Linked DNA regions of Bombyx mori. The main gene of each other region encodes a partner of the protein of the gene in region 2 in a complex. Links are inferred from orthologs where the notes say so. Each region holds a gene or a part of one and is shown on either strand. Other genes may lie near its edges.

Region 1 (5,337 bases), on a different chromosome or scaffold from region 2:
ATAATGTTTTGGCACAAAAGTTAATAAACATGTTGTATGTTTACAAACTATTATCACAATGTTGTTTCAAATATGACCTTCACAAACTGTGTCATGGTCTTTGAACCAAAAAAGTAATTTAATTTTTTCTTAAATTTTCTTGAACTATGCTGTGATTAATAAGATGGCAAACAATGTGTTTCAATGAAGTCTATATATATTATACGGTAGACTAAATGTACCTATATATATTGATCGTCATTTTATTTAATCACATAATGTGCTTAATTTGCATAAAGTAGAAGTCAGAATTTTGTATTATTACAGCTGTCACATTTTTCAGTATGTATGAAGTACACAATTTCAGTATGTGTGTAGTACCAGTAAGTATGAACATTTTGTTTACCCTATATGGTGGTATTTAACCATGCAGGGTCAGTTTTCTAGCTGTTGCTGAAAGACTCCAAAAATTCTAATTAAAAGTGGAAAACTCATAAACAACACCTTCATGACTGACCTGACAGTGTACTAGTCATCCCTCTGACTATTAAGCCGAACATTATGATTACTAGAACATTATTATATTGTATTATTATAACCGAACACTACTAATCGGAATGAAATTACAACAGAACAAATATGATTGCTGTTTCTAGACTTTATTAAGCTATATCAGTCAGTTCATTTGTCTGATGTTTTTCAAATTAATTTTAATAACTTTTTACTAGTTTACCACCATTAAGCCCCAATATTTTACTAATGCAACTACTACTGCAAATAAACATTTAACTCTCTTAGTAGAATAAAGACAAATTGTCTCATCGTTAACCTGATGAAGCTATTGTGGGTTATTAAGGAACGTAGCTAATTTTTTGTTTTGTTATCTGTAACAATCAAAGTACGGAAAAAAATCTAACCTCACTGTAAATAAGCTTATAAAAGAGTTGTGAGGTGAGTAGGTAATCTTTACTCTGATACACATTCCTCTAGAATTGTGGAATATTTGTAGTGAGCTAGTGGTGCATGTTGGATCACTAGTGATCTTGAGTGAACTACGATAACTGTAACTGTGGTTTTGAATTTTTTTTCCATGACAAGGTTAGTTCTTGATTTTGAATAAAATTTATGCATTTTTAGGGTTACACATTGATCTTTCATCAATATATAGCTCTGTGGATATCATAAAATATCGAAAATACTTTGTTCACATAATTCATTGGATACACATATTTAGAAGAAGAAAATAGCTTCGTGATAGATCACATTAATAAAGATTCAGAATAATCATCTCAGTACAATTTTTCTGATGATGATGCAGAAGCAGCAGAGCAGAAATGAACAAGAAGAAAGAGTTATAGTAGATGGAGAGATTGGCAGAAATTTATTCTTTGAAAAAAGCATTCTCTTGTAATTGATTTTTTTTTTAATATCTCAATTTGTTCAAAAGTTATGAATTTTTAATCAATGACTCCATTTTAAGGAGGTGGGTATGTTTATGATGATTAATAAAATCCTCATTTAATTTTTTTTAATCTTCATCGTGTGCTCAAGTTTAAGTATTCAAGAGTTTTCAGGAATTTAATCAGATTTTTTATTACAAATTACGTTTTCTAATGCATCTCAGGTCTTCAGTGACCCATGATAACCTGACAAGGTGCCAAAAAAAGTGATAACCTGATCGGGTTAATTTATTGTAAACATTATATTGGTAAATTATTTCACTATCTTGAACAGAAATAGATGTAAACATAAATAGTTATTAGCTTATATTATTAGTTAATAGCGTATATCATTGCTATTGATGTTAATAATATAATCATAAAATTATATTATTTTTGTATTAAATAGTGATGATTTTTTTTCCACTAAACTTTATAGTGCAATGCATTTTAGATCCAATGATACATTTTCTAAACTAACAAATTTCATCGCTTACTTTCATCTTCAGTGGTATGTGCCCCTTTCTTGATAAAAATGTCCAATTTCACAGGATGATGGATAGACCTTAATATTTTAATACGAATGCAAAGTCCGATTAGTGTGGCCAGCGAACAATGGGGCACTGTTGGATTATACTCCACACGTAAAACGGGCACTTTATCTGCAGTTGGTTCCTTCACAAAGATTCCTTCCTCGTACACGACCTTCAAGTCTTCAAGCGTATTTGGCTTTTCGGGGTCTCGAATTGTCCTCAAATAGTCTAAAACACACCACAGCACACATTAAACACGCAAATAACACAAAAAGTTCGTGCAAAACCACAAATTTATGTTGAAAACAAACCATATATTGTCTCTCTCAACTCATTCTCGTCTTTGTAGCCGAGCTCTTGTAATGTAGCACTTTTGTCCATATATGCGGGCTTAGCGACCTCCACTGGCTGTTTTGAAGAGTTGTTTAAAGATAGTTTGGAGAAAAATGATATCATATTATCGTTCAAATTAAAATTATCACGGGTCACGATTAAATGTCGGACATATTTATTTTTTGACAATTGTAATTGCTGACCTCCGTTTTTTTTTTCACTTGTATCTGCTATTGTGGCAATACTTTTAAGTCCATCTTAATTTTTTGTCGTCTTCAATAATGTTCTACAGAATTTACAGATAGTATTGACAATTTAAAGAACTTAAACTAATTTTACAACAATGCAAGTAACTTTGTCCATAAACGAAAGCCGGTTTACGAACGATAGTTTTACGTGATAACGCCATTAAGATAATTGTTCGAACTGTTAACTCTGACGTCACGTGAGTGGGAAAATAAAACAGAGGCGCTGGACGTAACTTCTCGAGATCCTCCAAAAAGTCCACTGAAAAAGTCTCCGTAAATAACCGCCATTTTACTGAGATTATATTTCATCCCATGTCATTTTATCTCATCTCATTTCATTTCATTTCATGCAATGCCATGTTTCATATTAATCAGCTTCATTTCATTTCACTTCATATTATCATTTTTCATATACAAAAAAGTGATAGTGCAATTTTCATCAAAATTTAAATTGTCTTAAATTAAAAATAAAACCTTTTAATTTAAAACTATTTTAATTTACCAGGACATAAAATCACTTAAAAAAAGACGCCACGCGAGAAGACAGATAAATGTGTCACAAGCCAACGCTTGGGCCGATCGTGCCTCTCTATCGTTTGTTCCGCGCTCTCGCTTGCGCGCTCAGGCTCAGAGGAACGTGACACTCTTTCGTGCGTGCAGGCGGCGTACATCGATTTAGACGTTAACACATCCAAAAACCATCAATAATTGATGTAGACAAACATTAGACAAAGCTTTAATGACTGAAACTTCAAGCTGGTGGCTTATTCATGACGCATTGCCAAAAGGAATGGATACCTCAAATGAGGCTACAGTATACAAAAAAAATAGGCCTTTTATTTTTATCTACATCCAAACAACCTTGAATCAAAATTAAGAGCCTGCATTCACCACTATATTGTCGCTAAACTACTACAATACATTTAATTTTTATTTCATTACCTACATAACGGTGTATCTTTTGCTTAATTGAATAAAAAAAGTTTGTTATCTGACGTGAAACACAGTTTTCTATTTAATAAAAGAAATATTCGTATTTTTTCATAGCCAGTGTATTCCGTCGTGTGGAAGCGTCGATATTAGTAATTGACTGTATTAGAAGATCTCAGGTACTTTACCATCAACATATTGTGATGGATCTATTTTGCATATTTTTATTAGCATAACTTATATCTAACTAACTGAATCTTTAATAAGGAGTAATTTTAACCGAATTAAGATTAACCTTGATAATTAATTAAAACCTTGACATCAAATGTTACGACTATTTATAAATTAGAGTTCTTAAAAAATATGTTACAATATATTGTAATAAAAAAAAATCATTTTTTTTACTTTTAGTTTCTACGATTTAGTTTGGCTTACTCTTGAAGTGTTTGTTTGTTTTTAAATTTATATTTATTCTAGCTGACAAGGCAAACGTGTTGTCTTAAATAAATTTCTAGAGAAATTCTAGTGTAGAAAAAAAAACCTAATTCAACCACATAATACCTCACAATAACAAAATAAAATTATTCAAAAAAATGTGTGCGTGTACTAGTGTACACACGTAAGAAGTGAAACTTGTTTATGGCCTTATTTTTCGAAAAATGATCTACATGCAACTTTCTAGAAATTGGTTAAATAAAGTTAAATTAGATAAAGTTTAAACAAAAGGATTTTATTATCATAGACATGAATACAAATAATACAATTATTTCACTTTACCTTTTTGCTACTAAGATTATTACAGCATTTTAATAATACATCTCTTTGATATCATAATACCCTGGTACTTTTCTTCCTATAAATTAATAATAATAGCACGGTCCACGTGGTGTTAAATGGGGTTCCTGAGGTTCGTGAAGTTTGACCCACCTTGAGACATGAGGTCGATTTCTCAAATCCGAAACCATGCTTCAGAACATACCGCCGTTAATTATTAATAAATCTCTTTGCTATCATAATACCCTGGTACTTTTCTTCCTATTATTTTACGTAATAACAGTAATAAATAGCACGGTCCACGTGATATTATTAAGTGGGCTCCCTGAGATTATTGGAATTACAAAATGATTTCCGTAATCCACCTGGAGACATGAGGTCAATTTCTCAAATCGGAATCCATACTTCAGAACATACAGCCGTTAATTAATAAAGAAGGCTGTACGTCAGAGTAAAGTTATAATAATACATCTCTTTGATATCATAATACCCTGGTACTTTTCTTCCTATTATTTTACGTAATAACAATAATAGCACGGTCCACGTGATATTAAGTGGGTTACCTGGGATTATTGCAATTACAAAATGTATTCCGTGACCCACCTTGAGACATGAGGTCGGTTTCTCAAATGCGCATCCATACTTCAGAACATACAGCCGTTAATTAAAAGATGGCGCGTAACGGAAAAATGTGACGCGTAACCGAAAAATGTGACGGTAAATTTTTTTCCAACGCCGATAAGGAAGTTTCACTTCAAAAAAAAAAATTTTTGTACTGGACATACTTAGGGGTATGAAAATAGATGTAGCCGATTCTCAGACCAACTGAACATACTATTGATACACAAATAAAACCAAAAAAATCATGGCTGGCAAGCTACGAATGGCTGAAAAATGTATAGTGAGTAAGACAGGAGACCGGCTTCGTCCTCATCCCTACTACGTGATGTTTGCTGGATGAGTGGTGACACCTAGCGGGGATAACTGATCGATTGATTGTTGATCAGTAGTCGACCGGCGAGGGCAGGAGATCAAATTGAATTTAAAAGAAAATCATAATTAAAGTAACTTGAAATTATAAACTCTGAATAAGAATTTTTT
Region 2 (5,306 bases):
ATAGCCGAATATTATGTAAATTTCCAGTTGACGTCATTATTATACAAAATAAGTAAATAGAATAAACGCTTAAAATGTTTAAACTGGAACTGATTCAAAATCTGGCCGGACACAAGGGTATAGTTTGGAATGTGTCGTGGCATCCACTTGGAAAATATTTTGCTTCTTGTGGTGAAGATAAAACTATAAAATTATGGAGTAAATATGGACAAGATTGGGCGATTAAGACTGTACTTGTCGATGGACATCAGAGAACAATTCGGGAAGTAGCCTGGTCACCCTGCGGTAATTTCCTCGCTTCAGCCAGTTTTGATGCGACTACTGCAATTTGGGATAAAAAAAGTGGTGTGTATTTTTCCCTTGTGACCCTGTGAAGAATTTGTACATCCAAAATTAAAATGAGTAACACTTTATAGGTGAATTCCAATGCAATGCAACTTTAGAAGGCCATGAAAATGAAGTTAAAAGTGTAGCATGGTCACCTTCAGGCCATCTCCTGGCTACTTGTGGAAGAGATAAGTCTGTTTGGGTGTGGGAAGTAGCTGGAGAAGATGAATACGAGTGTGAAGCTGTACTTAATGCTCACAATCAGGATGTGAAGAAAGTTAGTGCATGAATAAACAAAATTGAGTTTGTGTTTCTTACATATAATGAATGGATAAATTATATTATTTTCTTTATAGGTTGCATGGCATCCTTCTCTAGATATCTTAGCATCAGCATCTTATGATAACACAGTAAAACTGTACCAAGAAGATCCTGTAGATAATGATTGGACTTGTGTTGCCACTCTACATTCGCATGAGTCAACAGTTTGGAGTTTGGCATTTGATAAAACTGGAGAAAGACTGGCGACATGTAGTGACGATAGAACTGTAAAAATTTGGAAAGAATACAAACCTGATAATCAAGAAGGTGTTGTGGTGACTGATCGAGAGGCAGTCTGGAAATGCATATGTACACTCTCTGGATTTCACACACGATGTATTTATGATATTGCTTGGTGTCATAAAACTGACCTCATAGCTACTGCTTGTGGAGATGATATCATTAGAATATTTAAAGAGAGTGAAGATTCTGATCCTAATGCTCCCACTTTTGAACTTCTTTGTACAAAGAAAAATGCTCATTCTCAAGATGTAAACTGTGTAGCTTGGAATCCTTCAGGAAATCAAGAACTGCTTTCTTGTAGTGATGATGGAGAAATAAAAATATGGAAGTTTACAGAAGCTTAAAGTAACTAATTATTGACAGAAAGATCAAATAGAAATGATCAAAAAATCTAACAAGGAGTGATAATAATTTTATATTAAGGTTATGCCACAAGACATTAGCTGTGATTGTATCTAGCAAGATATAAATGTATTGTAAATACAGTATAAGTTTCAGTCTTTATAATAATTGTTGAAAACATGATTTAGTATTATTGTTCACGAACATAACCCAAATAACTAATAAAAAAAATAACAAAAAACATTATAACATAGATAAAATGTTTTGGTATACACTGCACTGGCTTGCTGATATAATCCATGGGCTTACATATTTTTTTTAAATATGAAAGCTTTGAAAATCTGACAATTATTATGAAATATCAACTTCTTTAGATCCAATCATTGAACTATACAAAATACCCACAGTCAGGTTTTTTTTGGTATAAGAAACGGTCTTATAATATGAATTAACAAAACACTAAAGTACTATATTATTACACAATATACCATATTAAACTATTACAAACCATATTAAAAATTAAAAGTGGCATTATAAAATTCCAATTTATAAATTAAACATCAGTTAATTGTTTTTATAATGGAGTAGTTAGTTTTAAAGATAAGGAAAAAGGAAATAAAGTTTGGATTAAAATAATGATGAAAAACAGCATTTATTATTTCACTGAATCTTTTCAAAATGCCTTTTGGTAAAATTTAATTTTTTAACAATGTTTTATTTCAAATTTATTAGTAAATTTTACATTTAAAAATTAAACTTTTTTCAGATATTACTAATGTTCTTTCAGTTAGGCAGGCACATTTTAAAGTCAAGAAATTCAAGGAATCACTTGTTCACACATTTTATCAAAATGTCAACTGAGAAATTCTGTGCAGTGTCTTTGGAAAGAGTAGTAACAGTACTTGAAAAATTTGCTCCAAAAGAATTGGCAGAGAGTTGGGATAACACTGGTTTGTTGGTGGAACCTTACACACCGAGGTATGAGCAAATTTATTCTTGACTACAAATACCCACTAGCAGTAACAAAAAAAAATGTTATTCATTTAAAATTATGTACTATTATAATAATTATATTAAGGTAGCTACTGCCTCACATAGAAACTGGTAATGACAGAGATGCTAAGCCTTACTGTGTATTGCTTTAGTCTTTAGACTTATTGTAGAGGATTACACAGAATTGGCCGTGTGGTGTCCGTGTGGTGTGGCCTCGATAAAGAATAATACCGGGCGACTAACGGGTTATCCAGAGAATGAGCGGCAACGTTCTCTGAGTATCATAACAGCATACTGCGATCGCCAACCCGCATGCCAAGCGTGGCGATTATGGAAACCCCTCCCAACATGTCTGACACAAATAAAAACCGCCCAGTCCTCGGCAGCTCCGCTATTCCTGGCTACAGTAGCGGTCAAGGTAACGGCGGGGCAGGGGGTGCTAAGAATCTCCGGCAGAGATCCGGCTACGTAAAAAACGACGATTGGACCTGGCAACATATAACGCGCGAACACTGCGGACCGATGAGAAGATTGTGGAACTCGAGGAGGAATTGAGCAGGTTACGGTGGGACATTGTGGGCTTATCTGAAGTCCGAAGAGAGGGAGAGGAAACGATAATTCTGAGGTCCGGTAACTTGTTCTATTTTCGGGAAGGTGATCATCTGTCTTAAGGTGGTGTCGGGATTATCGTCCACAAGTCCCCTATGAATAATGTGTTGTAAATCGAGAGTGTATCGACCAGAGTGGTTGTACCTTGTACTCAGAATCACCAAAAGGTATTCGTTGAAGATAATACAGGTTTACGCTCCGACTATGTAATAGGACATTTCCAGAGCCATGCATAGCTCTACAACTCACTTCACCATTGTCATGGGGGATATCAACGCCAGACTCGGTAAACGGTGCGAAGGGGAGCTGCGAGTAGGACCATTTGGATTTGGGCATCGAAATCACCAGGGAAACTTACTTGCCGATTTCATGGAGAAGAAAGAATTATTTATGATGACCTCTTCAGAAAACGGGGTCACAGGAAGTGGACCTGGATGAGCCCCAATAGCGCTATCAAAAATGAGATTGATTTTATTATGTCGCAGATTTTATTATGATGTCTCTGTGATCAATACGATTAAAACCGGAAGTGATCATCGGGTGGTAAGAGGCACAATGAACCTCAATAAACCTTGAGAGATTCCGAGTTATGAGGTCTACGCTCCGTTCAGCACCAGCTCAGATCCAAAGTTCTAGACACTTTCAGCTCGAACTTCAAAACCGCTTCGAGTGCCTAGGAGGCTCCGTGGACGATTACAATAACGGGTTTGTGAATGCTGTCCATACGATCGGTTCCAAGATTTTTGGAACCCGTCGTGCAAACAGAACCAAAAAACTCTCAGACCCTACTTTCAAACTCATGGAAGAACGTCGCGAGATGATTATGCAGTCTTGCAGAGATGTTATTTCTCCGAAACTATTTACCGCTGCGTTGGAAGACATTTTCAAAGTTCTGAACTGGAAAGGGCTAGCATAAACATCATCGGCGAGTACATAGTTCGCCGACGATATTGTGACTATGGCCGAGACCTTGGAGGACCTTAGTACAATGCTCAAAGACCTCAGTAGGGCTTCTATCCGAGTGGGCCTGAATATGAACATGGAAAAAACAAAAATTATGTTGAATGTTCATATAGCGCCCACTCCAGTAAAAATTGGAAGCTCTACGCTCGAAGTTGTTGACGAGTATATTTAACTGGGACACACTGTCCTGCTAAGTAAGTCCAACTTCGAAAAAGAGGTCAATCGTCGAATCCAGCTTGGATAGGCAGCGTTCGGAAAGCTACGTAAATCTTCTCATCACAAATACCACAGTGTCTCAAGACGAAAGTCTTTGATCAGTGTGTGTTGCTCTGAAATGTGGTTGCTCACAATGGCCCTTATGAGAAGGCTCAAGGTCACTCAAAGAGCAATGGAGAGGCTATGCTTGGAGTTTTCCTGCGAGATAAATCAGAAATGAGGAGATTCGCAGGAAAACCATGATAACCGACATAGCCCAAAGAATTGCGACGTTGAATTGGCAGTGGGCAAGGCACATTGCTCGTAGAACGGATGGCCGTTGGGGCCAGAAAGTTCTTGAGTGGCGACCGCGTACCGGAAGACGTAGCGTGGGCAAGCCTCCCGCAAGATAGAACGACGATCTATTGAGATTCGCGGGAATCTGCTGGATGCAGGCAGCGCAGGACCGGTCTTTGTGGCGAGACTTGGGGGAGCCCTGTGTCCAGTAGTGGACGTCTGTGGGCTGATAAGAAGAAGAAGACATAGAATTGATAGATAAGTCTTAAGTATTAAAGTTATGATTACCTTCATGCTTTGGGTTGAAATTGTATGTGCTTTGAAGTTTCAAATTATAAACTGTCAATTCAGCCGTATGTAGGGTATATAAAATATATAGGCTAAAGTGTCTCTTTGAATAAAGCCAATGATGACATTATTTGAGGATTACCAAACATGTTTGATTAAAACATGGGTATATAATTATTTTTCATATATAATTATATTATATTATTTCATTGAAAATTGGTTTTCTGTAATCAGCTAACCTATTCCTCGAAAACCTTTTTAATAAAAATAAATAAAATTACATGGCCAATGCCCATTGCACTTTTGCGAATCACAAGATTTAAAAAATACAGTCTATTCTCAAACACAACCAGTGTGGACTAAAAGTCACTCCCCTGTTATAGAAAGATCTATACAGAACACAAAGTGAGGATGCAACTATAATATGAGTTGATGATGTAGAAGTGGTACCAGCTAAAGTCAAATGCCTGTAAGTTCAGACATATAATCGCCAAACTTATAAAAATACTTTAAATAAATTTCCATTAGTTAATTTGACAAATTTAAATTAATTTTCTTTATGTTTTTAATTACCTATTTAAAATATAATATTTTTTTATAATTTTCAATTCCAGACAAATAACCAAAATTTTGTTAACTAACGACTTAACAGAAGATGTGGCCTTGGAAGCTGAAATTCTGGCGTGTGAGATGATTATTTCATATCATCCTCCGATATTTGCGCCTTT

What was found. The genes of interacting proteins can lie anywhere in the genome.
Region 1: NIF3-like protein (region 2) and MIP18 family protein galla-1 share a complex: the UniProt entries of both Homo sapiens proteins name them as parts of the CIA complex. The link is inferred for Bombyx mori from reciprocal best matches to the Homo sapiens genes CIAO1 and CIAO2A.

The regions. Positions count from the first base shown.
Region 1 is NC_085134.1:8,479,028-8,484,364, forward strand, and holds the start of MIP18 family protein galla-1, read right to left. Parts: upstream 3,119-5,337; 5' UTR 2,408-3,118; coding exon 2,263-2,407; intron 2,180-2,262; coding exon 1,916-2,179; intron 1-1,915. UniProt on the Homo sapiens protein: Component of the cytosolic iron-sulfur protein assembly (CIA) complex, a multiprotein complex that mediates the incorporation of iron-sulfur cluster into extramitochondrial Fe/S proteins.
Region 2 is NC_085116.1:9,600,876-9,606,181, reverse strand, and holds the start of NIF3-like protein, read left to right. Parts: upstream 1-2,083; coding exon 2,084-2,211; intron 2,212-5,192; coding exon 5,193-5,306. UniProt on the Homo sapiens protein: Key component of the cytosolic iron-sulfur protein assembly (CIA) complex, a multiprotein complex that mediates the incorporation of iron-sulfur cluster into extramitochondrial Fe/S proteins.